2 linked regions of the Struthio camelus genome follow. Each later gene encodes a partner of the first gene's protein in a complex. Links are inferred from orthologs where the notes say so. Each region holds a gene or a part of one and is shown on either strand. Other genes may lie near its edges.

Region 1 (15,046 bases):
AGCTCACATGGTGGGGATTGATTAATGTGAATCTCCCTCCTATCTGGGATATTGAGAATATACCTCTTCTCTGATTTCCAGACCTCACTGCGTGTTACAACAGAAAACAGACTTTCAACACTATTTTTCAGGAAGGGAAGCCAAGGTAAATGGAGGAAGAGGTCCATGCCACTCATACATCTGCAGAAGATGTAGGTGCTCTGCGCCTTACCTGAAGGCTTCAGTCATGGACCCCATTGTATGTGGGTGAGCCACAGCCCTGCTAGGAGCCCGCACTCTCCCCAGACACACATAACCTTAGCCATACAGAGGACCTGCGTAATGGCTTTGATCCCTGAAAGGAAGCCATTCTTCCAGCACATGTAGGAGGAGAGAACAACAGCTACCTCGCACAAACAGATGCACAGAGGCGATGCCCTTGTCGCTGCTGTTGACGTAAGCACACTTATAGGTGCCTGTATCCCTGTAAGTGGCCTTGGGAATACTGAGTGTGCTGCTGGTGTGGTTGGTGGATGTATCCTTTTGGCTGTACCATTCAACTTCAGATTCTCCTGAGCAGTGCAAGGTGACTGGATCACCAGTATTGACAACCAGAGAAGGGGTGTCAGGGTTGATCACTGGGGATGCTGAGCCTGCAAACAAAAGAGAGAGAGGGAAGACACGCAAATGATCCCTTAGGATGCTCTGCTGAATTTCACACTGTTGAGCATGGAGTAGTTTAGCTTTGGGAAGAGACTGAGTTTGGGATGCAGACAGGCTTTTAGTGTCACTTCACTCCAGCCATTCTCCACCTCACCAGCCTGATACAGTGACCTGATCTTCCAAGGAGTAAAATTCAGGGAAGGGAAATGAAGCCATATCTGAATGTTCAGAGCAATAGGGAAGGAAACAGAATCATCTGGAGCTGATTAGGCCAGGTACTAGCTTAGAAATTGTTCCTTTTGGGTTTTGCCTCTTTTCACACCAGGTTTTCTTTTTGTGGTGGAGCAGAAGGTACCGTAGGAGTTTGGTGAGCCTACACGGCCGTTTGGTGAAGTTCAGGCCAAGGCCAGTGGATGGGGTTCTCTCTGTCGTGCTGGTGCTGTGATCAGTTAGAAGCAGCCTGGAAAGCTTCTGCAGAGCAGAAGTCCAGTACATGTCCTTTGAGAAGCCTGCCTTTTTTGGTTGCCGGGCAGTGGATTTTGACTCGTAGGTGTCCTTGCACCCTTCAGACGGTGTCTTTTTCTCCCAGGTACCATCAATATATTAGGAAGCGAGTCAGCACTATTATTCATATTCAGGGGTGGGAAACTGAGGCACGTAAAAGCTAAATGGTTTATGCAAGCCCACAGCCATAATCCTATACGCTGCGTATCAGACTATGCTGTCACTTGCTATTGCAATGCAGCCAGATTTCTGATGCCGCCTCTGCCTTGAAGACGGCTTCTCTGCTGGCTGAATAAAGGGGAACCGGAGTCCCACTCCAGCCCTCAGTGTCAGAGGGAAATATTTTTCCCTGTTTTGCTGCATCAGCGAGTTCTTTGAGTCACCACCTATATATAGGGTGGGGGGAAGTGAGAAATGAATCAGTACTGTGGGGCTAGGGAAGAAGTGGTACTGCTACCCCCACGCCAGGCCTTTGCGGAGGACAGGAAACACATTGCAAATGGCTATCTGTGTTTGGGGGGCTCTGCACCCTCCCCTCCGGCCCTGATCCAGGGCTATTCTCCCACTTCTGCTTTTCTTCCCGGTTGCTAACCCATCCTCACATCTTAAAGCGACACACACTACGGCTCAAATAACAGTAAGAAGAAAGGTATCTGCCCAAGTTATCAGCCAGCCGCTCTTAGCAGAGTAGGTCACTGCAGGCAGCAGAGCTCCTCCGGGGTGGTGGCAGTGGAAAAAAAGGGGCAAATTTGGCCTTGGAATGCATCAAACTCTGCTGCAGACACAGCCCTCGACTCACAAGGGCTCACAAGGTTGTTAGTGGAAACATTTGTTGTCCAAACAAATATAAAGGCCCTAATCTGGCAGGAAGTGGGAAAGGGCAAAGTGTCCCATGATGACACCATTTGTCCAGCTGCATTTGCATGTCCTCAAGGGGAAGCGGAGCAACGGCCTGATGTTACAGCCCTTCACTATCCAAGTCTGCTGCAGGGACGAGAGCCAAGGAAGGCTGGTTGCGCATGGGCAGCAGTAGCAAATACTGTTTAAAGCACTGCAGTCCCAGATGCCACTTGGACAGAGGACACCATCCATGTAACAGAGTTGACAGAAGCAGCATGCACCCATCCTCAGCCACCTCCATTCACAGCCCTCACTTGGTGAGGAACAGGATGGCCAAGGCGCAAACGTGCATCCTGTCCTACCGGCTCTGCTCAGGCCTGTAACGCCAGAGCCCAAAGAGCATCTCTGAAGCGGTCTTGGGCTGAGGCCTCCCTCCATGCAACAGAGGGCAGAGCTCCATGACACTCAAGCCCCTGGAGAGCTTTACTGGTGTGTGACAATGATGCGGCTGCACTGGGGAAACCCAAACAAGGCCTGAATCAAACTTGCAGGCCCTGGGGGAGGAAGCGGGAGACGGGCAGCATGGAATGTTTGAGATTTATCTCCTTGAGTGTTGTTTTTTTTTAGTGATGTTTTTAATCTGTCTGTGGAAAGAGGAAAAGCCTCATTTATTCCCAAAGTGGAGAAAAACATACCCCAGAATCCTTTGCAAAGCCACATTTTCCACATATCTGAGGTACAACATTCCTCCCTCTTTGCTAAGCTGTGTTTTCTAGCAGGGCTTGACACATTTCTGTTGCTTTTACTCTCTATCACTGGACACTTTGCCTTGCCAGCTCTTCACCTTGGCTATCCTTCTACATCCAAGGCTTCAGCATAGTTTGATGCAGCTCTGGGTGAAGGAAAGCTTCGCTCCAGCATTCAGACTGGCTTGGGAAAAGGCCATGTTATAACTGGTCCTTAGCGTGGCCACAACAGTAGAGCAGAAACAAGAGTCTTGTCACTCAGCATCCTTGCTATCAGCCTCCAACTGCTCCCAAGGTACTTGTAGCCAGAAAAGGCCCCAGAGTACTTAACTCTACGTAATATACTGCAATGGAGAAGCCAGCAGCCTTCAGGCAGTCACTGAAGACTCCTAGCAATGGCGAAAGCACCGCACAGGTGGAGTGAAGATGGACAGGACAGAGCACAGGGACACTGAATGCAGGGTCCTGCCAGGTAAAGGCCCCCGAAGCGCCCGCTCCTTTGCATGCAATGGGAGATGAGTCAGAGGTCCTTCTCCCCTTCTCCAGAATGGGGAAGCAGGGCTGCTGGGGGAGGCTTGCTCCCTGCTGACCAGTGTGCAATCTTGCACGAAGCCCAAGGATGTCTCTGCTGCTCCTCAGCAGCTTCCTCAGCACTGCCGGTAACTGCTGGCCAAAGGTTTTGCCACACTTGGATTGTGTAACCATGACCTCTAGTAACAGCTGCAGGCTCTGTCCCTGCCTCTCTGATCACAGCCAAAACATAACTCTCCTCTGCAGAGGGTGTGGAAGAGGCAAGTAAGGAGAAGTGGAGGCTAATAAGACTTGGAGGCTCAGGAGCCTTGCACAGAGGTTATTCATCAGGCCCTTTACTTGATCCTGGGGGCTAGATAGGCTGAATCTGGCCCTTGGAGGGACCTGCACTAGGCCTAGGCTCTTCTTGCTCTCCCCACAATGACAGGAGAGGATTGGTGGCTGAGAACACCTTCCTGAGATAGTCACCTACTGTACCTGGAGGCAGAGAAGAAGGTTCGGTGCCCTTCTCTGCTTGGGATTTCCTCCTCAGAGACTTAGATTCATCCCCAACAAAAATGCCAAAACCCTGGAAAGACCTCTCCAGATAGCCAAGAACACAGATGTGGGATGCTCAGGTTTCAAATCCTTCCTCTGCTTGATCTGGAGCTGGGATCTGAGTGCAGGACATTTTCCCCAGCGAGAAGCCAGGTCCCAAGGGTCACACTGCATCAGCCATGGGTGTGCTCAGAACATGCACCCACAATCCAAAAGGAAGGAGAAAGGAGCCAAGCTCTGACTCCAGCTTCAGCCTGAGGAGATTGCTTTAGACAGCCTCAGTAGGCCAGGGCTTTGTGCTGGAGGTGGCCAAGAGCCATGACACTGCGAACAGCATGTATCTAACTCCCTGATATGACAGACAAATGTCTCACAAGGATTTCATGGCTGGTGACCTGCATCACCCAGAACCTTAGGAAACCTTTTGCAAGATCTTGACAGATCTTGCTATGACCTGTCACATGCATACATCAGAGGTGCCCGGTCCCCCCCAACAATCAAGCTGCTGAGAGTCTCACAAAAGATGCTCCAGTGCCCTGTCCCACCCGGGAATCAGGAAGCAACATTTGAAAATTAAAATTGGGTCCAAAGATGCTAAAGACATAATTACTCCTTAGGAGTCCAGGAATAGCTGCAGGGGCTGGAAAGGAAGGGATCTGAAGCAAGAACAAGCGCGACAAGGAATTCAGACCAGACTCTCTGAACTAGAACAGTGACAAAACCCTGCAGTCTTCACTGCCCAGCTCCCAGCACAGCAGACCTGGAAACAGCTGAGCATGTAGGAGACGAGGCTTGAAGGGAAATACTGCAGTGCAATAGCAAGGTGGATGCAAGGTTTCTGAGCTGAAAATATGAACACAGTAGCAGCTTGAGAGGGAAACACCGTCTTCCTGCTACGTGCCAAATGTTTTTCCTCCAAGATTACACCCTTTGAGGGAGACTTGCCCACCAGAGCCTCACAGTCCCTGAGCTTGCTCCGCAGGAGAATGGTGGGAAGGGGGACACAAGAACTGAGACGCTGCAAGTATTTGATACGTGAGATCAGTAACACAGGTCAGCAGGGGCTGATTTCTGTGTGTTTGGTTGCAAACTTCAGAACTGGCTTAGTGACTTTTGAGGTCGATGAGCTATCGCCTCTTGGCCACCTCATCAGCCTCAAAAACCAGCTGTATTCATCTTTCCCTCCTGGCTGCCTGAATTCAGTTTCCATCACAGGGTTTAACACCTTGCTCTACAGCCCTTTTGTACAAGCCAATACCACCAAAGAACAGTTGTGCTCAGACACCTCTCTCCTACCAGGCAGGAAGTGCATTGAAAGGGGTTGATAGAGGTGTCTGTCCCAGCTTTTTGTCACCTGTAGGCCAAGCATCTCCAGCTCTTGCAAATGTTTTTTTCCAGAGAGAGCTTCCCTTGGGGCACGCTTTCTGCTGCGTCTCTTCTTTCTCCTAACCCACTCCCAGACCCAATCCACCTCTCTCCCTACTGCTGAGATCCTTTCCACACCACTTGGCCTTCTCTTGGCAGGGAAACAGGGAGCCAAAGCGAGCCCTCAGCACCGTTGAGATCCAAAGTCAACATGGATTAACGATACAGCCTCTCTCCACCACTGCCCTCCTCCTGCATGGCAGCCAGCCCTGGAAGGGGTTCAGAAAGGTGTTACAGCCTTGGTTGTTGTCTCTTCGCTGCAGCTAAGTGCTGCTGCGGAGTGGGCATCCCTCACCTGCTATCTGCCTCCTACAAGGCTCCTTGAACCTGCCCATCTGCCACATCCCCTCCCACAGGCCCACACAAGCACTTTTGGGCTTGGTGTAGATGCGATTGGGAGCCCAGCTTTGCCCTTTGCAGCTGGGACCCGAGTGCCCTTTGATCAAACTGTGGCATTTCCCCCTTCCCCAGCACAGACAGGGCTTTTGGGGGACCATCATCCCATCTCACCCAAGGACGGGCTGGGACAAGAGGGTTCTCCCACATATCTGTGCTCATGCTGGACCCTCAGGAAACCCAAACCAAATCCTAAAACCACTCTGGAGAGATGCAGCGACAGAAGGGAGCTCTGGAGGGTTTGTGGACCTACCGTGCCAGAGGCCAGCAGCAGTCAGTAGCACCAGGAGGCCAGCGCCCATCTTCCCAGCAACGGTGGCACCTCCCCAGCTCAGATCTGGGGTGCAGAGAAGACCCTGCAGGTGGCTGAAGAGACCCTCTCGGGCGGCAGGCGCCTCTCCGCACAGGCACTGTCCACAGCGCTCTCTCAGTAGGAGGTTCTCCTTTCTGAGTTGACCACGAGTTGAGAAATTCCTTTTTTTTTTTCCGGTTTGTTTTTAAAATGGGAGGGGAGAGGGGGAAAAAAAAGCGATGTTTTGAGATGTCATCAGTGACAAACCTGAACCATACAGGTGGGACTGTAGGGCCCAGCAAGGGGCCCCCAGGGCAAGCACAGGGCAGCACTCCTCTACAGCAAGTCCACAAAAAGGCCTTGGGCTCAGCCCCAGGTGGCTCCCAGGTAGCAAAGGCTCACAAGGACAACAAGTAGTTTGGTTTCAACTGAGGATACGAACCCCAGGGCAGAGAGGGCCCTGTGGCCCTGAGCCTCACGAGGCCACACTGTGGCCCTTCTCTAGCCAGCAGCATGCAGAGACACGGCCATCCCAGAGCGCTGCAGCCATTGAAGGGGACAGCGGTCAGGGAGCTGCTGCCAGGCTGCAGGCTCCACCAAGGACCCTTCTCCCTGGCCCCAGGGAATATCTCCCACCTGCCCCACTGTTCTCACACCTGCAGGGCTCATCCACCTCATGGAGCCGGCTTTGGTGGGGAGACTTTTTGCAGCTGCTTTCTGATTGCCAACCTGGCTGGCACCTGGGAGTAGTAATGAGGTGCTTTGTTAACCCTCTCCTGGACTGCATCTCTTCTAAAATCAGGGGTGAGAGTAGGATTGAAGCAAAACATCCCGCTAAGGGGTGGTCAGGTCAGCAAAATGTTAGCAGGTCAAGGGAGGTGCAGGGTCCCCCTTGCCCTGTGCTGCAATGCTAGTTAAGCTCATGCTGCAGCAAAAGTTCAACCTGGGTCGTGACAGCTCTGGGGTAGGAAGTTACAACCACCAGCTGGTAGCACAGGCTGAGAAAGAGGTCTTGGGGTGCTCCAGAACTCCTAATTAGCTGCTTGGAGCCACAGCTGCTTGTCTGCTCTCAGCAGGGAGGTGTCAGAGAGATGGGCTGCCTAATTTGGACAGAAGGACCCAGGGTTTACTGAAGTGTCTGTACAGAGGTGGCTGTTGAATCTGCACTTACAGCTCAAATGTTCCTGACGGAGTAGTCCTCCTCGTGTCTCTGTAAATCAGAGGGGAGCAGGCTTGCGGGATTCTCCAAAGGGGCACTTAGAGAGGTACCGGGAAGACAATATCTTTCGGGCCAAGAGATGAAAGCACGGCTGACTGTGCTGAAGATGACTAAGAGTCATGGGAATGAGGAGAGAGCTCTAGGTTTTGGCCAGAGGGATGGCTGGAGAGCACAAGGGAGCGAAGGAGTCCAGAGAGAAGAAACGGCAGCTTTTGGCTGCAGAAGATTTCCTCTCAGCAGTTTTTCCTGGCAGGACATGGGGAAGAAGGACATGAACCAGAGACACTGTGGTGTGTTGGGGGGCTCCTGCCCAGAGCTGGGGGCTTGGAGAGTGGTTGGGCTGCAGGAGATATCTGGCTGATTATCTTTCCTCCTTTTGAGCCAAAGGGACTTTTTAAAGGATGTTTGCTTCCCTCCTTCTTCTTTTTAATTTTTTTTTTTCCAGGAACAAATGCCAGCTCAGAGAGAACTGACTCACTCATGTGAACAAGTATTAAACCAGACAGGTTGCTAGCAGAGAAGGGAAACAATCTCTCAGCCTCCCTTCTTGCCTTGGAGGAGCCCCTTACAGAGCCTCTCCGATGGCAGCAGTCTACAGGTGACAAGTCACAGCCAGCGCACATGGCTCCTCAAGTTGGGCTGGGCACACCTGAGGATGCTCAGGCTGGTGGGACAGGCTGTCTGCTGGGCTTCCTGCCTCATTGGTGGTCAGTCTCTTCCTGCCTGTGGGCAGCACCTCCAAGTTCTGTGACTGCAAGCGGCAACTCAGCCACTGGAGTGTTACTAGTGCGGGCACAGCTCCTACCGCTCAGGATTTCCTTCCCCAGGTTGTCATGAGTGGGTTGACATAGCAGTAATAAGAGCTGTGCCAGGCTTGCACAGGACCAGCTTGATGCAGAAGATCCCCGCTTTGCATGGCCAGCTGATGCTGTTAGCCCAGGTGGGCTCCTGTGCCCAAGCAGCTCGGAGCAAGAAGCAGCATTACTCTCAGAGGAGCTACAGCCTTACTTTGAGTCATTTGAAGTCCAGGGATGTTTGTGGAGGCCTCCATGGCCAAGATGGCATGCTAGGAGATGGCACGAGACCTACCCACTACCTGTTTGGCCATGGGCTGGCTGTAGAAGGTAGAGGAGTTGTGAGCACTTGGAGCCCAGGCTGATTTCCAGGCTGGTGGGAGTTGGGCTGGACTGTTGCAGCCCTGCAGGACCCCTGTACTGTGCACAGCCATCTGCAGCATCACTGCCTGTCTCACCTGCCCTGCAGCAGCTGGGGGGCACGTGGGAAACAGCCATGTCCTGAGTCAGCTGTTGGTACCCAAATAGCTAAAAGTCCTGCTGTGGGGAGCCTGACTGCTGCAGCAGGCCATGTTTGTCTCCAAAGGCACCATCTGAATTTCTCTGCTTCCCTGGGCTCCTACACAAGATGCCTGTCTCACCATATGTGCTTACTACCAAAGAGGAGAGCAACTTATTTCAGGTGGAGAAAATGTCTTGCTGGAGGTCCCAGGGTCCAGCTACTCATATCCCTCCCAGCAACTCCTTCTTGGTGCGTCTCCACATGCAAAAGGCCTGCTGGGTGGAAATCGGGCTGTGGGAATGAGCCAGGTTCTCATCTGAGAGCTAACAAGCCCCCTTCCCTGCTTTTCTGCAAGCCTTTACTGCAGCCTTTCTGGAGATGAGCTGATTTTTTTCCCTTGCTGATTCATGTCCCGGAGAAAAATGCCCCGACACGGCTGAGCCATGCCAGGTGACCCAGAGCAAAACTTGGGGAGAATCAGCTTGAGCTGGTCAGGGAGCCTGCAAACCTCCTCTCTAGCAAACTAAGCAGAGATGGGAGCTCAGGACAGGCCGTGCTGGAAAGGAGAACCTTGCTGAGACTTGCACCTGTCGCCTGCTGCAGCCAGTGCCTTGGGCCTTTGGGGTACACAAAGGGTTTCCAGGAGCTGGGGTGTACAAATCCCTGTGCAAACGGGCACGACTGCTGCCGGCCAGGACTTGTGCTGGGGCTGCATCACACAGCCTGAAAATTGGGACAAAGTCAATATATTTGAGCCTCAGTTCAAAATCCTCTTTGTGCAGCAACCTCAGCCTTTCCAAGCATGCAGCTCTGAGCTGGCTGCAAACAGCTCTGCTCAGCAGTCTGGGGTAGTTTTTGAGAGCAACAGTTTCAGTGGTGCTGCAGAGAGGAGGCAACTTTGGGCCGGACTCCGGGAGGTAACTGTTTCCCGTGTGCTTGGGGGACTTCAGCACTTACCTGGTGGCATCTGGGGGAAGGTGAGGGGACCAGGAGGAAAGGGGAGAGACAGAGGGACCTGGGATGAGAGGGATGGTAGTGTGGGGAACCAGCACTCGCGGGTTTCATCTTTAAAGGGTAATTGCACCTTCCAGAAGGAGAGGAGGAGAATGCAGCTCAGAGAAGCTCTGTGCACCACGGCTTGGCTCCTGCTGCTGCCCTGCTCTCATTGCTAGCTCCCCTCTCTCCCGCTGCCCTGAGCCACTATACTATGGAGAAAAATCAACTGCACTGTGGTGTTCCCACGCCTCCCTCCAACCCCACACTGCTCCAGCCTGGCAGACCCACATCTCTATCCTGACTCAAGCCCAGACCCAGCAGCGTGACTCAGGAGGAGGGCAAGCCCTGCTTGAAGGCTGCTGGGCCAAACCCCCAGCTCTGGGTTTCAGGATGTACGTGTTGCTGGTGCATCTTCTGATAGCTCAGCTGTCCTTGCATCCACTCACCTCCACTCAGCGCAGCGTGACCCACAGGCTGGCCCGCTACCAGATAGCCAGGGCAGACCCTGTCCTGTTTGCAGCCCCTGCTCCTTACCACGTCTCCGGGCTCAGCTGCTGCCTCGCTGTGCTTCTCACTGCCTGGTTCCCAGCTTGGCTTCTGCTAAGCGTTAGGGTCATGCACAGCGTATTAACGTGCTTAGCCTTCACCCACGACATGGTTAAGCTGTATGCCCAACCCATCTGAGCGGGAGCAAGTGGAAGCAGCCGAAACCAGGCAAACGAAGAAGAAGACGACACTTTGCAAAAAGAAGAAACACCTTTAATTTTAAACTTTTTCTTTAAAAACATATTTGTAAAAGTTTACAGCATAAAAATAATATCTCATGGCTATAGATGTGACATAATACGAGTCCTACAAATACATCTGTAAACCTAGGAGAATGTTAACTCTTTGGTACCTCAGTCTGAACTCTGTTTTCTTCCTTGCCCCAGGATGGTTTCTGGCAGACAGTGTAGAGGCAGGGAAGCTGCAGAGTAACGGTGTGATCCCAGCTGGTTCACACAGTGGAGGGGAGAGGGCAGCGAGCACGCTTTGGGGAGTTTTTCAGGCCTTTGCAACTTTGATGAGCTCCATACAGGAGGAAAGGATAGGAACGAGTGGGGCACTGCAGGCCTCCCAGCACAGCCCTCAGCTCTAGCTGGCTTTCCTGCCTCCTCTCAGTCCAGCAAGAAGAGCCATCTCTCCAAGAGTCACCTGGGCTAAACTGGAGCAGTTCTCCTGCATCCAGATCCATGTGGGCATGCCCCAGAGACCCCAGGCTGCGTCTGGGCTCCCCAGGGCTGACTTGGCAGCTTGCTGCTCTCCGGTCCACGTTGGGCATGTGTGAGGTTGTGCAATTTGCCCTGCAAACTGGCCATGCTGATCCTGGGATCCGAGCTAGGCACTGAGCCCAGCTGGAGACCTTCCCTAGCGCCTGTGCGTTGGAGCAGGGGCTTTGCCTCCTTACTGCATTAGTTGACATCCCATTTTAGAAAAAGCCGCCAAAAGAAGAGGTCTGTGAAATCCCCTCCTCCAGAGCAGCCCAGTTTTACACAGACAGACCCTGGACTTCCCCCACAGCCAGAATCTAACCCACTGCCCAGTACCCTGTATCTGCGGTGCTGTCTCTCCCCACCCCGGAGAGCTGGTGAGCCCTGACTGGGAAGAAGGGGAAGAGCCATTTCCCACTTCTGGCTAACTTTCTTCAGGCTGCACATCTGCCTTGCACTTCTGTCTTTCATCCCCACGGGACTCCACAACAGTCCCCTTGGCAGGTGAACAGAGACAATCTAGTTATAAGTAAAGGCCACTGTGCTCTAGATTTCATAACATGATGCAAACAAACACTAAACATGACACTCTCACTTAAAAAAATAGGAACGCGCAAACCGAGAAGGACAGAAGGGTCAAATCCTGCACACACATCAGTCTGAGACACATCTTAACATGAAAAGAGACACCAGCGTGTCACATTAGTTTCTGGGATATACTTAGGCACATATGAAAAAGTGACTGGCAGTAGGATTATGCATATATTGGTGCTGATAACAACGCAAGAGCTGTTGAGTACAATATGGTCTACAAATGAAAGATATTGCACTAGAGATGGGCCCAAGCTGTGGCATGTGTCCCTTCTGGGGATCTGGGCTGTGAGTAAAAGCCCCAGTTTGGGTCCACCTCTGAACATGAAAACACACCCAAACAAAAATTCTAATAATCAAAACTAAAAACCTGGAAGGACCGGTTCCCTTCAGAACGTCGCTGGAGAAATTATGGCTACAAAACTGATGGGCCCAGAACAGCCAGCCGTTTCCCACAGCCCTCACCCATCGGACTGCACAGGGACTGGAATGTCAGAAGCAGAGAGAGAGGGAGAGAGGGCTGGATCTGGCTCCCTGTGCAGAGTGAGCTCATTTTTGGAGCTGGAAGCCTCTGCCCCTGCAGAGCCCTCTCTTAGAGGAGAGTTCGCTTAGCTGGGGCTACTGGGATGCCCAGCTGGAGCCATCGCTGGTGCAGAGCTTACCAGTTCTGTACCAGTACCGGGCAGCATCCACTGCCAGGGTACCTACACTAGCAGCCAGAGCTGCTACTCTGTCCTGGGTGGAGGAGATTGCTCCTGCAGTGCGTGTGCATGCCCTCACTAAGGGGGTGATAGGACTAGCTGAATAGGAAAGTACCACAAAGTGCAAGACTTGGCCCTTGCAGTCCTGGGGCCAAAGGAAGATATTTGGCCATACCTCTCTGGAGGTGAGAACGGTACCATCATGCAAAGAGACTGGTGTACCGTGTTAAGAAAGGAGAGGATTAGCAGCAATTTGCTAGCAAATCTGACCTGATCAGCAGACAGAACAGGTTTTGGTGCAAAGGATAATTGAAATAAATGGGATAAAAAATATGCAAATGGGATAAAAATGCAATAGCCATCCAAGGGTAGTGAATGCCCAGACAATAGGAGAGGATACCTGAGTTCCCCCTTGAGGGAGAACAAAAAATCTTCACTTTCAGGACTGTAGAAAAGCATTTGATAGTGGGAAATTAGTAATTCATCTGTAGAACATGGAGTTTAGTGCAGGGACTGTGAAGTGAATATGGAAATATCCCAAAGGAGGGTGAGAAGCGGTTAAATGATGGGGAACTCTTTGGGCTGGAGGGAGGTAGTAGAAGTGGTTCTCCAGGGTTGCTCTTGAGACCAGAAGCATTGAATATTTCTATTAGTCAGTCCAGCCCAAAAATAACAAGTTTGCTAATGAAATGAACTGATGACCCAATGTCTGGAACAGCAGGAAGTATCTCGGTTAGAAATGCCAGAAGAGTAGAAAGATGTGGGTGCCTAGATCGGTCAGGGGATGACTCCAAACTACCACTATGTTGTGACTGGGAAAAGGCCAACATTAGCCAAAGCTACACCAGGCAAGACAATTCCAGCATAGATCAGAATGTATTAATGCCCTATGCGAGGTCCTGATTTGACCTCCCCTGGAGTACCGGCTACTTCTCATCACCCTTGATAGAGAAGGATAAGTTCAAAATGGGGCTAGCGCAGGCAGTGGCTGTTAGGATGATGTGATGTGGCATCCTATGGGCTCAAGCTGCAGAGACATGGATCCTACCAAGCACCTTAGAAGTTAGAAAAATAAAGTGGCCTGACCCCGGAGATCTCATGCGTTATTGCTTCCCTGTGGTAAGGATTGTTCCTTGAACCATGACCACAGAAGGTGGCTACTTTGTTATAAGCATGAGGAACAGAGCGTGGAAAACAGCTGTCATTCGCAGTGTGATCCCAATGGATGAAGGGGAATCTGACCATATGTGTTGAAAATATACTCCACTGGCTACTAATAAAAGTGCTATTTCTTATGTTCACATTTTACCAGTGATACCAGCCCGCAAAATATCTACTCCTCTTTTAGCTGCATAAATGGAAGCTTTACTAAGTAGCAAAGACTGACGACTTAAGACAGAAACTGTCTTGCTTGGGGTTTACTGGCAGAAGTCTCAGATTTTTTGAAGAAAAAAAAGAAATCTAAATAGCTGTAAGGTGGCTGAAACCCAGAAATACATTGACTGAATTTTCAAACCTGTCTGCTTTCAAACCTGCAGTTTTTGTAGGACGCACATAAAGATGTGCATAAGCAGGGCAGTGAAGGGGTTAATGGAAGTGAGGGGCATGCAGCAAATAAAGCTCTGTGAAAGGCGAAACTTCTCCTTTTGGAAAAAAGCCTGTTCATTTCTGTGCTGATGTCACAGTTGTAGCTTTTGGGGTTCAGCTTTCGTCTCTGCAGAGCAGGAGCTCACGGCTGATTTCAAAAGCCTGGTGTTCCTCCTGCTTTGAGTCCCCTCATTCAAGTGCCAGCATAGAGCACAAGAGGTCCCAGGCCTGTCTGTGAGAGCCGGGGAGGAGGCGAAAGTGGGAGGAAGATCTCTGCCATTTTATTCTTCAAAGTTCTTTCCAAGAGAGAGGAATCCTGCCCGATTCTTGCTCTGCTTGGTTCCCCGTGGCACTCCATCCACAGTCCCCAGCAGGCTGCGAATGACTGTGCCCGGCCACCAGAAATGCTATTTGTTGTTGAAACCTACCTTCCTTTGTGTATTTTGGCAAGCAGAGAGATTCGAAGTGGCAGTGTGTCAGACACGGTTCAGCCCTGGCCAAAGAGCCTTCCGACCTCTCTCTCGCTCTCTCTTTTGCAATGTCCCTGTGTTGGTGTTCTGGCATCCTTAGCTCTCTCCATAGTCTTACTACAACTCAGGAGGGACCGGTGAGGCCTCCCGTCCTGAGAATGAGGGTGCCTGGGTGAACAGTCAACCACAAGCAAGCCCTTGCTTCCCAAAGATAAGGCACAGAGATTTTTGCAGCCGATGGGGTTATATGAGTTCCCAGCAGATGAGCTGGGCTCAGTGGCAGTAGAAGATTAATGAATAGCCATATTGCTTCCTGATACTGGCCCTGGCTAGTGGATTAGTGTATTTGTTCCCTTTATATCTTCCGTGGAGGCTATTTAGCTTAGTGTCCATGCAGGCAAAGGCAACATTGCCCTGTCTGTTACCACAACAAAGTCATTGTCAGAGCTTTTCCAGTTCCTGGCATGCCTTGGGAGCCCTGGGTGCTTTGCTGGGCAGAAAGCATTTCAGGGTGTGACAGCCCCTACAGGTTGATGTAGAGCTGTGTCCCAAAGCCGTGGTACCTGTAGTGCCTCTGATGCGCTATCCACTGTAGAGGAGCTGGCGAGAAAGGTTATTCAATATCTCCAAGACGCCGGCTGATCTCTCCAGGCCTTGGCTGCACTAGAAGGAAAATCCACCCAATGACTTCTTGATCTCCAGCAGCTGGAGTGGGGTGTTACAGCTTCTCTATACCCCAATGATGGTCTCCAAGGAAATTGTCTGTCCTGGTGGCATTTCACAGAACCTGTGCCACAGTATGGCTGGTGCTGAGACCATCAGAGAAGTGCTGGTGCAGAGGAGCTGAAACTCATTGCCATCTGAAGAGCACGGAGGTGGGAAGAGGTGGGAGTATCACATTAGCAAGGTAGAAGGTGGCGTCTCATGTGGAGATCTGGCCTGCGTCTTCCACTTGAAGAGAAGGTGTTGGTCTATGAGATGTCTCCCTCCAGCAGCGGTTTGATCACTGGGGAGGTTGTGGCA
Region 2 (14,774 bases), on another chromosome or scaffold:
GGCCGACGGATGCCGTCGCCCTAACGAGGCGGCAGCAGCAGCAGCGGCGGCGGTGGCGGGGGGGGGTGAGGAAGTGAAGCGCTGAGATTGCCCGGGATCTGCCCCCAGAGCGATCCGCTGCCGGGGCAGAGAAAGGCAGAGCGGTTTTGGCTTTGCCGGCTGAACCTGCCGCTGGCTAACGGCCCGCTTCTCCGCAGTGTTTGCGCTCCGGCGGTTTCGAGCAGCTCAACCTGCAGCCGCTGCGGGCTCCCGGCTCGAGCCGGCGGCTCGGCCAGGCGGCACTCGGGCATCGCTCGCCCTGCCGAGGCCGCCACCTCCCGGGGCCCCGGCCCCTGTCACGTTCACGGGGAAGACTATTTTTTTTTTTTTTTTACTATTTTTTGTTTTATTTTCCTTCTCTGTAGCTGGAATTTCCCTTCCTGCGCTTGCCGTTCGGCCCTGGCAGCCGGGCGAGCGCTGCGGCCCCGGCTCGAGCCTCTGGCCCCGAGGTTCCCGCGCCGGGCGCGCCACGCCGGCGTCTCCCGCGGGGCGCGACGCCCCGTCGCTCCGCGCGCCTCGAGCCGAGCCCTGGAGGAACCTGCAGGTCGCACCGGAGCGGGACGGGGTCGGGGTCGGGGGGGGGGAAAAAAAAAGGACGGAAACCACAAACGGTTTCGATGCGTTTATTAGCCTCGGCGGCGTTTCCCCTGCCGGCGTTCCCCCCCGCGGCGGCGGCGGCCTTTCGAGGTGGCCGGGCGCCGATCCCGCAGCACGGGGTCCGTCACGGCCCGCTTTGCTGCCGGGCAGGGATGCCGTGCCCCCCCCCCCCCCCCGCTCGGGTTTCGGGAGGGGAATCGTGGCCGGGAGCCGGCTCCCCGCGACCGGCCTCGTGGCCTGGGGAACCGGGAGCGGAGCTGCAGCAAGTCGCGGGCTGCAAGGGCTCCGTTTCGGCTCCCGCCGCGGCGTCCGCGGGAGCCCCGGTCCCTGCCCGGAGCCGGGGGGGGGGGTGAAGCGAGGTGACTGCAGCACCCGGTCGCCCGTGGGCGACGCTCGCTGTCGCGGAAAGAGTGAGCCGTGCCGGCCGTGGGTCGCTCGCTCTCCCCCAGGAAAAACCAGGGGCAAAGGTTATTTTTAAATAGGATGCGTTTCCTCTTCTCCTTCCTGGCCGGGGGCACGTGGCGGTGAGGTCATGGAGAGCCTCGGCTCACGGACGTGCTTCCAGCTCCTCGCAATCGCCTCTCCGGGGCCGTTTGGAGAAATTCTTGGCCGGGTCCCGCTCGGCGGCCGGACGAGCTGCGGCGCGGAGGCCTTCTGCCCCGAACGCGCGGCGTTCGCTCGGTGCCCCTCCGACTCCGCCGTCCTCCCCGGGCCGAGCGACCACATCCTGAGCTCTCTATTTGCCCGGTTCCTACGGTCCCGCGGGCTTTTCCCGGAGCGGCTTCTCCAGCCCAGAGCCGCATGTGGCTTTGGATGGAAAATCAGAGCCAGATGTGGCTGAGCTGCTGCTTGTTCCTCCGAGGGCTGAGCCGAGCGGGGCCGGGGCCCGGGAAGGGTTGGGGGCGCCGCGGAGCCGGCCGGCCGGCAGCCGAAATCAGCAGGGGTTTGGCACGTTGCCGGTGACTTTGGAGGGGGCAGATGGGACCTTCTGCAGCCCGGCTCAGGGGCGAGAGGGGCACCCGCGGGTGCCGCCACCCTCGGCCAGGCAAGGCGGCGGCTACGGGTGCTCCAAACAGCCCCCCGGCTTCGGGCTGAGCAAAGCCTGGGTTTCGGCTGCGCGCCGGCGCCCCGAGCGCCTGCACGGCCGGGCGGCTTTCGGAAGAGCGGCTCGCGGCCCGTTTCCTTGCGATCCGGAGCCCGTCCGTATCCCGGGGTTGTTTCCCGGGAGCCGTCGTCCCCTGCGCTGCGCGCCGGCCGTCCCGACGGGGCAGCGGCGCTCGAGGGAACGGCCCCAATTTGGACGGCTGGAAAAGGCACGGGCGGCGCGCGGGGCGGCGCGGCCGGGCACGAGCGCCGCCGTCCCTCGGGGTGGGCACGGTCGCCGGCGGCGGCTGGGGCCGCGGTGACCCCGACGGCTCTGCCGGCCCCGCTCGGGGCGACCCGGCCCCAGCGCTAACCGCTCGCCGAGCAGAAGGGGCTGGAAAACTCTTGTGGTTGCTCCGAAATGGAGCCTGGCTACGCGCAGACCACACGAACCTCCGCATGCGACAGCAGCGGCCGGAGGACGAAATTCCACTGCATTATGTTTAATTATGAATGTCGGGGTTTTTTGGGGGGGGGGGCAGAGGGAGCCGCCTGCAGCTCGGGCTGCAGCGCCAGCCCCTTCCCCGGGGCTGGAAGCAGGACGGGGAAGGACGGTCCTGAGTCTTCGCTGCTGAGTGCGGCATAGCCCAAATTCGGGACCCGGCCCCCCCCCCGCCCCGGTGCCTAGAGCATCCCTGGCTCTCTCGGGCTGCCCATGCCCGTCCCCCACGGCGGACGACGATTGCTTTGCTTTTTAACCTGGTGGGGCTCCCGGGGCCGGTCTCGCGAGGGACCGTTGCACCAGCGGGGTTGTCCCTGGGGTGCGCGGCGGGAGCCGGGGGTACCCGCCACCGCCACGTCCCCCCCCCCCGCTTCCACCCGTCCCCGTCGGCACCCCAGGGGCCGCGGGGCGGGAGCATGGGTGGAGGCGCAGCAGCGCGGGCCAAGATGCATCAGCTCGTGTTTTTCTGGTAGCGGCTGAAGGTTGTTTTCCCCGTTCCCGGGATGATACAATGCTCTTGGCGTAGGTGCACGTCCCAGCGGCCGGGCACAAACCGCGCCGCTCCGCTCCCGCTCGCTCCGGCCCGGCGACGGCGAGGAGGAGGGTTTGGAGGGCGAGCTGAGCCGCTGTGCCGGAGAGCTGCTCCCGCCAAGGCCCCCCCGGGGCTCAGCCCCGCTTTCGGCACTGGGCAGCGGCGGGGAGCAGAGGAGGAAGGAGCCCCGTGGAGCCGGGGCGGCCGAGTGCGAAACGCTTCGCCTGCTCGAAGGAGCAGCAAACGGCGCCGGCAGCTTGTGGCCCCATTTAAAAAAAAAAGAAAAGAAAAGAAAAGGGGGTGAATGCACCAAAAATCGGTGCCTACGGAGGCGGGTGAGGCTGTGTCACCCCTTCGGGCCGGGCTGCTCGGCTCCCGCCGCGCTCCCCTTGCTGGGCCCAGCGTTTGGGGAAAAAGGGGAGGAAAAAGGTGAAAGCATCCGGCTGGGAAATCTCCCGGGAGGAGCGAGGCCACGGCCACCGGCACGGGCCCGAACGGAGGCCGGAGTCGCGGCCAGGGACGGGAAAGGCCAGATTTACCGTCGGCGTTCGCCAGGGGAGCGTGGGAACGGCCACCATGACGGCGGCTCCTGGCCGAGACGTGACGGCGAGACCGCGCGCGAGCCGGCTGCTTTTCGATCCCGCCGTGTCCCCTCTCGAGACGCCGGAAACGCCAGGCCGGAGACACCGTCGCTCGAAGCCGTTTGGCTCGAAAACCGCTTCGAATCAAACCGAGCGGGTCGCGTTCGGCCGGGGAAGGGACCGGGGGGGGGGAGTGATGCCTCCGGGCACTGCCGGGCTTTTCCGGGGTGCAGAGCCCGGGTCGGGGGCGGCCTCCGGCCACCGCCTCGGGACGGGGTCCGGCGCTCGGCTGCACCCCTAAAGGACGGCCGAGCGCCGCATCCCGCGGCCGGCCGGCCCGTGGGCTCGCTCCGCTCGCTGCCTCCGGCGGCAGCCGGGCCGCGGCGGCGGCGGCACAGAGCGGGACCAGTCGCTGATGTAAACAGCCGCGGATAAACAACCGGCTCGGCCAAGGAGGACAAACGGCTCCTGTGTTCGCCGGCGGAGCGGTCCCCGGCCCTCCCCGCGCCGCCGCAGCATCCCCGGCGCTCGGCGCGCCTCCCAGTGTCCCCCCCCCCCCGCCCTTGCCTCCGTCCCCATCCCGTCCCCATCCCTTCGCGCCTGCTCGACGCCGGCGTTTTGCCCCAGGTTGGCCCCATCCGTCGGCCCGTGCCGGCAGCGCCCGGATGCGCTTTACCCGCGCTCCGTCTTTCGGCCGCCCGGCTGCTCCCGACGGTGGCACCCGCGGGTGGCCGGGCAGGGGACAAGGACGTTGGCCCGCTCGGGGCTGGAGCCGACCCGCAGCTCGGTGGGGACCCAACCGGGGTCGCGGCGCATCCTCCGTGCAACCCCCTTGCCCGGCTCGCCAGCATCGCCGGTCGCTCGTGGCCGGGGGGGGGGGGACGCGCCTGGCTCCTGCGGGGAGGAGACGGGCGCTTTTGGCGGCGCGGCTCGCCGCGGGGGGTGAAGCGTTGGACCTTTACCGCGGGCTGTTCCCGTGCCACCCTTGACGGCCCCGGGGCCGCCCGCATTCCTCCGCTCCCTTAGGAAAACCGGCTCGGGGCTGTCCCGCGGGGATTTCCAACCTCGGCACGCATCCCGCCGGGCTGCCGGCGCGGCCTCGGAGAGCCCCGTCCCGCTCCGGGCATCACGCGGCCCCCGGCAGCCGGGACCCCGGCCGGCCGCCGAGCCGCGGGGCTGCCCCCGCTCCAGCCCACGCCAGGCGGAAAAATCCGTCTGCCGGCTGCTGATTTGGGCCGGGGAAGGGCAGATCGGAAAGCAAAGCAGAGCTGCATGCCGACTCTCTCCCGCCCGGCCAGTGAATCAGCGGGGAAGGAACTGATTAAGAGCTCGCAGCACTTTCTTGCTGCAAATAACTTTCTCTGCGCTGCGGCGAGGCCAAAATTGGGTTTTTTAGGAAAGGGCCGTTTGCAGCGCGAGGCCCTTTGCCGAAGGGGCCAGCGCGAGCGCCAAGCGGGGAAGGTCAGCGGCGCCGTCGCTCTTGGCTGCCTTTCTGCACTCCCCCCACCCCAAATTCGGCATCGCTCCGAGCCGGCCGCTGCCCACCGGCCCGGCTGCTCCCGCTGCAGCGCGAAGCGGGCTCGCCGGTTCCCCTGCGCCTCGGCCCCGGGACTTCGGGATTTCGGCAGGTTTTGGAGGGGAGCAGGGGCAAAACCCGTTTGCTGCCCAAATCGAAGAGCCGGCGGCTCCGCAGCCCCCTCGCTGCCCTCATCCGTCCCGCGGAGATGGTCCCATGACTCTTGGCCGTGACACTTTTCCGGTCACTTAAAGGCAGGCGGGGGATGAGTGTGCCGGAGATAAGCGAGGAGCGGGGCCGGCCGGCCGCGGGAAAGGGGCCCCCGCGGCCCCCGTGCGGCGTCCCGTGAGTTGCCCCGCCGCCGCCTGCCCTCCCAGGACAGCTCATCCCGGAGCGGCTCGAGTGGAAAATGTATATGAACCGCGAGGCGTTGCAAGGGGGAAAGGGTTTTTTTTTGGGGGGGGGGGTTGCAAATTGTTTTGAACCCCGGCATCCTTCCTCCTCCATCAGCAGCATTTAGCCGAGCGCTGGGGGGGGGGGGGGTCAGGGCCACCCGCGCGCTCCCGTCCCCCAGGCAGCTCCGACGGCGCTTATGGGACGTCCCGGCTGGCACCCAGCTCGGCCCCTTCCTCCGCCGGCCACTTCGGCTCCGCTCCGCGAAAAAACGCCGGCAGTTTCGGAAAGCCGCTCGCCGTTTCCGGCCCCGCGGAGCAGACACCGGCGCTTCGCCGGAGCTCGCCTCGCTCGGATGTGGCTCTGGGCGCCGGCGGCGGTCGCCGGCGCTGGCGGCCCGTTTCGCTCGCCGCTTCCCCATTCGGGGTGACGAAGGCTTTGCAAGGAAACGGTTTGCCCCACGGCGACTAATTGTTTCCAGTTGCCTCCAAACAAGCAGCAAACAAACAGGAACCCTCCCGAAAGCAGAGAGAACGTGGCGCGTTGCATCATGCAAGCAACGCTGGTGGTTTCACTGTGCCCCCCGCCTTTTGGGTAGCGACGCGTCCCCCTCGCTCGCAAAATTAGCCCGGTCCTGTTTCACCCACGCAAACGGGGCTCCCCGACCCCGGGTGACCCGTGCAGGCGCCTGTGTGCGTGTGGAGCTGTTCATGCACGCCTGTACACACGGCTCTGTTCACGCACACCCATGCACACAGATCCATGCATGCACACGCACACATGGCTCTGTTCACGCACACCGATATACGCAGATCCATGCGTGCACACGCACACACGGCTCCGTTCACGCACATCCACGCAGGCGGATCCATGCACACACGGCTCCGTTCACACACACCTATGCACGTGGATCCATGCACGCACACACGCGGCTCCATTCACGCACACCCATGCAAGTGGATCTGTGCACGCACACACACACACGGCTCCGTTCACACACACCCACGCAGGCGGATCCATGCACACACGGCTCCATTCACGCACACCCGTGTACGTGGATCCATGCACGCACACGGCTCCGTTCACGTGCACCCATGCAACCGGATCGGTTCCTGCGCAGCACAGGGATCCGCTCGCGCCTCCTGGCCGTGCCCGCTCTCTGCACGCATCCCTGCCCAGCACCCAAAGTAGGAGACACGGCCACCGGAGCGGCCGCTGCGGGAACGCCTTGGGTTTTCTGATCAGCTTTCTCGCCCAGACGGCTCCGTTTCTGCCCCGCTCGAGCCCGATGGCACACACCGAAGCCACCGTCCAGCGCTCGCCCGAGCGCGCGGGCTCCCGCTGCCCGGATGAGCGAGCCCCGGTGAACCCGCAAGCGCAGCACCCTGCCTGCCGGCCCAGCCTCCCCGGTCCCGAATCTCCTCGGACCCTCCGCACCGCAAAAATGTTGCTCGAGGGCATTTCTGCTGTGATGGATTGCAAACGGCGGTGGGTTCGGGGAGCTGAGGCCAATTTACTGGCAGGGAGCAGCCCTTCGGGGCACGTGCTGCGGAGAGGAAGGGTATTAAACCAGCGCAGGAGTTTCTGCAGGACAGCTTCTGACGTGGGGTAGGATTAAGGCACAAAGTCGCTTTGCACTTTGCAATGCCAAAAAGGGGGTTTGAGATGCTGTGGGCAGAGTAGCTGCAAGGGGGTGAAGTCGCAGCTGGTGAGGGAGGCTCAGCACAGCAGCCGGCCCCGGCGGGAGGCAGCGTCCCTGGCGCACGGCGCTGCTTTTGAGGGAAAAAGGGATTTTTTTTTCTGTAGGAAGAGATCTGGGCCTGGCTGGATACCGTGGCGCAGGCATGCAACGGAGGAGCAAGGCCAGAGAAGGGGATGCCCAGGCTGGGTAGGCACGTGTCTGCAGACTCGCGCCGCTGCGGGACTGTGCGTGTGTCAGTGCTGCGCACAGCCACGCATGTCTTCACGGCCACGCGTATGCATGTGGGTGTGTGCGGGCAGGCGCCTATATTTATTTGTGTACAAACATAGATGTGTAAATGTCAGGGTGGATATACGTAACGTACGTGCGGGCATGGACAATCAAGTGGTTGTACAATGTATATGCAAGTGTGTGCACACATACGTGTCAGGTACGTGCGTGCACACACGTGCTACGTCCATGCGGGTGTCTGCGTATCTGTGCGTGTATGTGAGTGCGTACGAACGTGTGTGTGTGCCTGCCCGCACGGGTGTGCACACCCCCGCACCTGCGTGCAGGTGGTGGTGGGGGGTCTGTGTGCATGCGTGTGCATGGACACGTGTGTGCGCATTTGTGTGCTTGCCTCTGTGCGTGCATGGGGTATTTGTGCGTGCTTGTGTGCACAGCTGTGTATACGTGGGGGAGTGGATCCATATGGGTGTGCATGCACATGGGGACCGTGTGCACACACGTGCACCTGTGTGTGTGTGTCCATGGGGATGTGTGTACTTGAGTGTGTGTGCGCGCACACATGTAGGGTATGTGTGCACACAGATATGCGGGTGCATGCACACAAACACGTGCACATGCACGCACGTCCAGGCGCGGGTGCTGGGGGCTGCGCACCCACGTATGTGTGCATGTGTATGTGGCCACGGGTGTGCGTGCACCCACGTGCGCTTGTGGGCATGCATGCACGCAGGTACACGTGGGGGGAGGTTTGCATGGATCCATTCGTGTGCTGTGAGTGCCATGTGCCCACTGAGCCGAGCCCAGCTGAACACAGCCGAGCCAAACCGATCCGAGCTCTGCTGAGCTGAGCCAAACTGAGCTGAACCAAGCCGAATTGAGCTGAGCCAGATCCAGCCAAGCCAAGGTAGGCTGAGCTGAGCTGAATTGAACCAGGCCGTGCTGTGCCGAGCTGAGCAGAATCAAACCAATCTGATCCGAATCATACTGAGCTGAGTTGAGCCAAACCCAGCTGAGCAGAGTTGAACTGAGCTGATCCAATCCAAATTGAGCTGAGCTGAACTGATGTGATCCGAATCGAGCTGAGCTGAAACGAAGTGATCTAATCTGATCCAAAATGATCTGGTCTGATCCGAGTCGCACTGAGCCAAGCCATACCCAGCCCAATCGATCCAATCTGATCCAAGCTGATTCGACCTGTGCCGAACTGAACCCAGCCCAACCAAGCTGAGCTGAGCTGAGTTGAACCCAGTCCAATCGAGCCGAGCCGAGCCAAACCCAGTCCGATTGATCTGATCAAAGCAGCGCTGATCCAATCCAAGCCAATCCAAGCCGAGCCCAGCCGCGCTGGTTCGATCCAATCCGAGCTGAACCCAGTCCAATCGATGTGATCCAAGCAAATCCGATGTGATGCGAGCTGAGCTGAACCCAGCCCAAGCAATTGATCCAAGCCAAGCCGAATCCAGTCCAATCGAGCTGATCCGAGTCGAGCCGTGCCGATCTGAGCTGAGCTGAACCCAGTCCAATCGATCTGAGTCGATCTGATCCGATCCGAGCTGAACCCAGTCCAATTGAGTCGTGCTGGGCTGAGCTGAGCCAAGCTGAACCCAGTCTGATCAATCCGAGCTGAGCTGAGCTGAGCTGGGCCGAGCCAAGCCAGGCTGAACCCAGTCCGATCGACCTGAGCCGAGCCAAACCAAGCTGAGCCGGGCTGGGCTGGGCTGAACCCAGCCCGATCAATCCGAACCGAGCCGAGCTGAGCCAAGCTGAGCCAAACCCAGTCCAATCAATCTGAGCCAAGCCGAGCCGAGCCGGGCTGAGCCAGGCTGAGCGGAGCAGGGCTGAGCCAAGCCGAACCCAGTCCGATCCATGGGAACTGAACTGAGCCTAGTCGGGCCGGACCCAGTCCGATTGGTCTGAGCCGAGCCGAACTGAGCTGAGCTGGGTTGAGCCGAGCCGGGCTGAACCCAGTGCAATCGATCTGAGCCAAGCCGAGCCAAGCCGGGCTGAGCCAGGCTGAACCGGGCGGAGCCGAGCCGGGCGGAGCGGAGCGGGGCGGCGGGGCCGAGCCGAGCGGAGCCGGGCGGAGCCGAGCGGAGCCGGGCGGAGCCGAGCGGAGCCGGGCGGCGGGGCCGAGCGGGGCTGGCCCGGCGCCAGCCCTTTCTCATAAACCACATGCTGCCGCGGCGCTATAAAGGGGAGCGCGGCGGCGGCGGCCGCTCAGCCCGGCCCCGCTCGCCGCCTCGTCCGCACCGCCCCGCACCGCCGCGCCCGGCCCGGCCCCGCGGCTGCCGGCAGCCCCCATGCCCCGCCTCGGAGCCAAGGTGCGGCGCCGCCCGGGGGGGGCCCCGGCTTTGGGGGGGGGGGGGTTGCACCCGGTATTGGCGGGGGGGACAGGCATGGAGGGGGCACCCAGCATGGAGACGTGCAGCACTGGGGGGGGTGAGCACTCAGCTTGGGGGACACTGAGCATGGGGTGGGGGGTCGGGCATGGAGGGGGCACCCTGCTTGGGGATGTGCAGCACTGGGGGGGGTGAGCAGCCAGCTTGGGGGACACTGAGCATGGGGGGGGGGTGCACCCAGTATTTGTGTGGGTGGGTGAGGGGGAGGTCAGGCACCCAGCATGGGGAAGGGGGTACTCTGCCTGGGGGGCACACCCAATATATGTGTGAGCAGGGCATCAAGCTTATGGGGCACCCGTCTTGCCCATCCCTCTGTCTGTCAGCCCCCCCACCTCCTGCCTGTTTTGGTGGGGGGGACACGGTGGGGACCCCCAGAGTGGCACTGTCGCCCTGGTGGGGTGAGGCTGGAGCCTGCTGCGGTGGCCCGGCCGGCATCTGCTCTTTCACAAGACGGGAGAATTTCTGGGCTCCCTCCAAGGGAAATTCCCCCTCTCTCTCCTCCCAGTGCCAAGAGACACTCTCGGTGCCGGTGCTGTGAGAGATGCATCTGCAGGGTTTTCCTGCCCGAAGGGGTTTCCTGCACCCCTAGCTCTGGCTTGGGGCAATTTGGGCCTGGGTCTGAGGGATGGGAGGAGGATTCGGGGTGGAGGGGGTCTGCCGGGAGCCCAGGGAGGAAAAATAGCAGGAGAGATGGAAACGGTGCAGGAAAGGGGCCGAGAGGTCAGAGCGAGGGCTGGAACGTGGGATGGGGAAGTGGAGGCGCCGAAGGAGCTCGGGGCTGTGCCGGTCCCAGCGAGAGTTGTGTCCGGGCTTGCGCCGGCCAACTCTCGACCCGGCGCGCCCAAACGAAAAAAAGACAAACCCGGAGCAGGGTTGTGGGGGGGCCGCGGCGGGGTGAGCTCGTGCGGCTGGGTGGGACGCTGCTGCGGGACGCTGCTGCAACCTGTTGCTCTGCTGCCTCCAGGTGTGCCTGCTCCGCTGCACCCTGCTCTCGTCCCTCCTCTTCCTCCTCGTCTGCAGCATCCATGAGACAGAGCAGAACAGCTACTGCCAGCAGATCATCACCCAGAAGCACCTGGCCGAGTTGCAAGAGCTGGTGAGTGCCGTCCCGCTGCGGGCCCTGTTGCACCGGGGACGCTGGCAGGCTCGGCCCGTCCCCTGCTGAGCACCCGCTCCGGCGCCCGAGCACCCCTGGGCGCGCTGGCCGGGGAGGTGACCCGCCACCGTGCCTTTTGCCAGGGTGGCCGCGTCCAAAGGCTGGTAGGAAGAGCAGAGGAGAAAGCGGCGTGAGTCAGTAGTAGGGCTGGAGGGCGAGAAACAGGGCAAGGTTGGGGGCACCCGGCGGTGGGTGCTGGCGAGGAAGGACGGATGCGGGGAGCCGGCGCTGGCGGCGCAGGGGTTAACGTGAGGAATCCGGCTGCATTCCTGAGTCCAGCTGCTTGCCTGGAAGCTGGGCTGGCAACGGGGCTGAGGGTGGGTGGCAGGCGGCGAGGGGGGCTGCCGGAGCCAGCGGGGCCAGGGCGACAGGCGCCTTTGCCCTGCGTGCCTCCGGGGCAGCTCCCAGCGCTTCGGGGCAGGATGCAGAGGAAATCCCTGGCCCCTTCCCAGTTCCCGTGTGGGCCGGGAGCAGGCTCACCTCCACCCGACGAGCAGGAATTACATGGCTGTGGTCCTGATGCTCAGAGGAGAAAGCAAAACTGGGGATGCACAGGGTTTTTTTTAAACTTATTTTTATTGCTGCGGAGACATGTGTATGGCAGATCAAATTCAGCTTTTGGAGCAATGTTTGCTCTTCAGCTCTGGGGGTGTGTGGGTGAGCTGTTAGTGATGCACTTTGAATCCTCACTTCTTGCTCGCTTGCACCGAGCTCCCCAGGGCCTTGCAGCCGCTGCGTGCCAGCGTACAAACCGCTGGGTCTGGCCTCGCCGTACCTCTTCCTCTTTAAGCGCTCTGCTGCGGTGCCAGGAGCTGGCAGATGTCATTTTTCCAAGCTTGGCTTCCTCCGCCCGTCACGCCGGCTGCGCGCGGGCTGCCCTCCAGCTGCCTGCCCCACGGCTCCCTGCACCCTCTTCCCCGTGAAGCCTTTTGCAGCCCCGCGGCGATCCCGAGCGGGCGCCCGTTGGGGGGTGATCGGGATGGTGCAGGTTTGAAGAAAAGTTGTGGTTTCCCTGCCGGAGATTGCAGCCCTCTTCCTCCTGCATCCTGCAGAGGCGTTTGCGGAGGAACGGGCCCTCGCTGCAGGCCGGCCAGATAATGGAGCAATTGTTTCCAGGCCGACGCTGCTCTCCTGGCAGCCGGCGCACTCCCCGCCTGGGATGCAGGCCCAGAGTTATGCTCCAGGGCCTGGAGCACGGGGTTTGTCAGGAAGGGAGTTTTGGGGGTTTTTCCCCTTCCTCCCCTCTTCTGCAATTGGAAACCGTTGCGGCATGGGGGTCTGCGGGACTGTGGCGTTGCACAGAGCGCCGAGGCGGCGCGTGGGCTTGCACGGCCTCGGTGTCGCTCCCGGCGTGCCGGATGTGTCTTGGCCACGGAGCGGGAGGCCCCCGGTGCACGTGGCTGGAGGCCACAGGGCAAGAAGCAGAAGCAGGTCCCTTCGCCTCTCCCACCTATGTCTGGGGAGGAGGGTGCAAGCGGGTGCTCCTTGGGGCTGCGCCGGGAGAGCCGCTCTCGCGTTTCCAGCCCCGGGCAGGGCTGGGCTGTTGGGATGGGAGGAGGGAGGCAGGGAGCCCCTGGTACCTGCAGCCCGCACGGCGGGAGGAGGGAACGTGCTGCTCTTGCGGGAGATCTGGCCTCCCCCTGCTGCAGGTTGGACCTTAGGGAAGCGTCTGTGCGGCGAGGAGGAGGATGGAGCGGGATGAAGCAGGGGCTGGAGGTGCAGTGTGGGTTTATCTGCTGAGCTCCAGACTTGTTGAGACATCCGTGGCGGTGCATGAGCAACACCCCTGTCCGGCCACGTTTGTCCCCCGGTGACGGGGGCTGAAGCAGGGGGTCGGGCGCACTCGGGGTGACTCCCTGCTCTGTCCTTGCAGGCTGACACCCAGATGCAGCATCCAGGCAGGGTCTCCTTCAGGTTCATCGATAAGGTGCAGCTGGTGAGTGGCTCCTCTTGGCACCGGGGAGGCAGAGGGGTCCCCAGGCACTTTGGGACATCCGTATCGGGGTGCATCTCTCCCCCCTCGTCCCCGTCTCCCTTTTGCCATCAGTCCTCCCCCGCTTGGCGGGAGGCAGCACATGCGCGTTGGCCAGGAGCGCCCTGTCCCGCCTGGCCGCACGGCTGCCGAGTCTCGCCTCGGTGGGTTGGATTGGGACGCCGGAGATCTGGGCTCAGGGCTGCCCGCCCCAGGCGTTTCGTGGCTCCGTGCCTCAGTTTCCCCCCCCAGCAGGCCAGGAGGTGCAGCACTCCCTTTGCCCAGCTGGTGACCTGTCGGCCTTTTGGGGGGGGGGGTCTCTGCCCTGCCAGGACGACCCCGTTTGCTACGTGAAAGCCGCCTTTCCCCTGCTGGGGGAGATCCTGGGGAAAACGGAGTTCAAGGAGAACTCGTCCAACGCCAAGAAGCTGCAGACGGTGCGCCGCATGTACAGCCGCATCGACGAGAACGTGGACCCCTGCATCAGGGAAGAGGATGACGAGGAGAGAGAGGTACGGTTGTCTCTTGGGTCCCCCCCCCCGCCCTGCCGCGGGGGACGTGGATCCAAACCCTTAACCGTGGCTTTGGCACGCAGCCACCCTAAATGCAAAGGGGTGCTGGGGACCGGCAGGGTGCGGGCGCTGTGAGATGTGGGGTGAAACAGGGTGCTTGGGGATGGAGGACATGGAGGGGGGAACCCCCCCCCCACCAGCTGGCCCACACTCCTCTCCTAGCTGCAGGTCTTGGGCCAAAACCTTGCCCCAGATGGGACCCGTCTACTGGTGGCTCCTGACACCTGTCAGTGGGTCCAGCTCCGTGCCACCGGCCCCGAAGGCGGAGGGTAGGGGCGCGCGGGTCGGGAGCCGTGCCTGCCGGGCGCCGCTGAGCCCCGCTCTTCCTCCAGCTCTCGCAGAAGTGCTTCAGAGAGTTCACCACGTCCCCCTACGAGATGCTGGCGCTGGTGAAGCAGTTCTTCCACGACATCGACCTGCTGCTGCAGACCAAGGAGACCTTCGAGAAGGACTGCAGCCACGTGTACCGGAAGGTGTGCCTGGAGCCCGAGCAAACCAGCTCCCCGCTAGGTAAGACGGCGAGGCTTCGCCTCCGCCCGGCAAACCCCGGCGCGGCGCCGGCGGCTCGCCTGCATGACGCAGCTTTACGGCCGTGTGTCTCCGTCCGCGGGCACACGCGGGTAAACGCGGCCACGGCCCGTGTCTGCGTTGGTACCTGTCTCTAGGCTGCTGTGTGTCGGCAGGCTGCGTGTCTTCGTGTGGGCACCCCGGGCAGGTCCAGAGAAGGGGCTGACCAGCCTTTGAGGGATAAGAACCTCTTTTGAGAGGCGGATTTGGGCCGCAGCCGTGCTAGGGCAGGAAACCTGCCTGGAATAAGGCCGGCGAGAAGTACCGAGGGGGAATAAGGAGGCAACTCCGTCGGCCCGGCTGAAGGCATCTGGCTTAGCTTCCTCTCCAAAGCCACCGACTTGCTGCATGACCTCGGCCGAGTCGCATCAACTGCCCCGTGCCTCGGTTTCCCCCGGCCGGCCCCCTGGAGTAAAAGCCCACAGGCTGGCGCGAGGCTGAGCCCGCGAGGAGAGCGTTGGCCCGCCGGGGTGGAAGAGACTGTCGCTGCCCGTGCTTTTCTTTTTTTTTTTTGGCGAGCGCCCGTGCTGCGTGTTTGCATGCCGGCCGAGAAGACGGCCTCGCCTGTCGTCCGCGCTGCCGGCGAGCCGGCTCTGTGCTGCGTCTTGTCGCTGCCCCCCCGGGCACCGCGGGGACTTCAAAGGCGCCTTCCCGTTGACGGGGCTGCCCGGCTCCTGCCAGCGATGCCGAATCTTGGATGACCCGTTGCCGCCGGCTGAGGGGAGCCGATGATTTTGGCCTTGCCCGAGGGCTGCTGCGCGCCGTCTGTCCGTCCGTCTGTCCTCCCCTTCTCCCCGAGGGCTGCTGCGCGCCGTCTGTCCTGCGTCTGTCTGTCTGTCCTCCCCTTCTCCCATCGCCTGCTCTCGCTCCCACCTCGCTTCCGCTCTCTTTTTGGGGCTGTCCCCCCTGGCGGGGGTGGGGGGGGGTGCCGG

Evidence for each region.
Region 2: the proteins of CSF1R (region 1) and CSF1 are in contact, whole or in part, in a crystal structure (PDB 3EJJ), measured with the Mus musculus proteins. The link is inferred for Struthio camelus from reciprocal best matches to the Homo sapiens genes CSF1R and CSF1. Residues at the interface, in NP_001032948.2 of Mus musculus: Arg142, Arg146, Leu149, Arg150, Lys151, Lys168, Val169, Leu170, Ser172, Asn173, Val231, Gly232, Phe233, Leu248, Ser250, Asp251, Phe252, Asp254, Asn255, Tyr257, Lys259; in NP_001107002.1 of Mus musculus: His38, His41, Met42, Gly44, Asn45, Gly46, His47, Phe87, Gln90, Asp91, Asp94, Arg98, Asp101, Glu110, Arg111, Gln113, Glu114, Leu115, Asn117.

Annotation. Positions count from the first base shown.
Region 1 is NC_090954.1:7,294,602-7,309,647, forward strand, and holds the start of CSF1R (macrophage colony-stimulating factor 1 receptor), read right to left. Parts: upstream 6,090-15,046; 5' UTR 5,924-6,089; coding exon 5,875-5,923; intron 633-5,874; coding exon 387-632; intron 1-386. UniProt on the Homo sapiens protein: Tyrosine-protein kinase that acts as a cell-surface receptor for CSF1 and IL34 and plays an essential role in the regulation of survival, proliferation and differentiation of hematopoietic precursor cells, especially mononuclear phagocytes, such as macrophages and monocytes.
Region 2 is NC_090965.1:4,262,820-4,277,593, forward strand, and holds the start of CSF1 (macrophage colony-stimulating factor 1), read left to right. Parts: upstream 1-9,392; 5' UTR 9,393-9,476; coding exon 9,477-9,497; intron 9,498-10,539; coding exon 10,540-10,671; intron 10,672-12,604; coding exon 12,605-12,667; intron 12,668-13,035; coding exon 13,036-13,215; intron 13,216-13,607; coding exon 13,608-13,785; intron 13,786-14,774. UniProt on the Homo sapiens protein: Cytokine that plays an essential role in the regulation of survival, proliferation and differentiation of hematopoietic precursor cells, especially mononuclear phagocytes, such as macrophages and monocytes.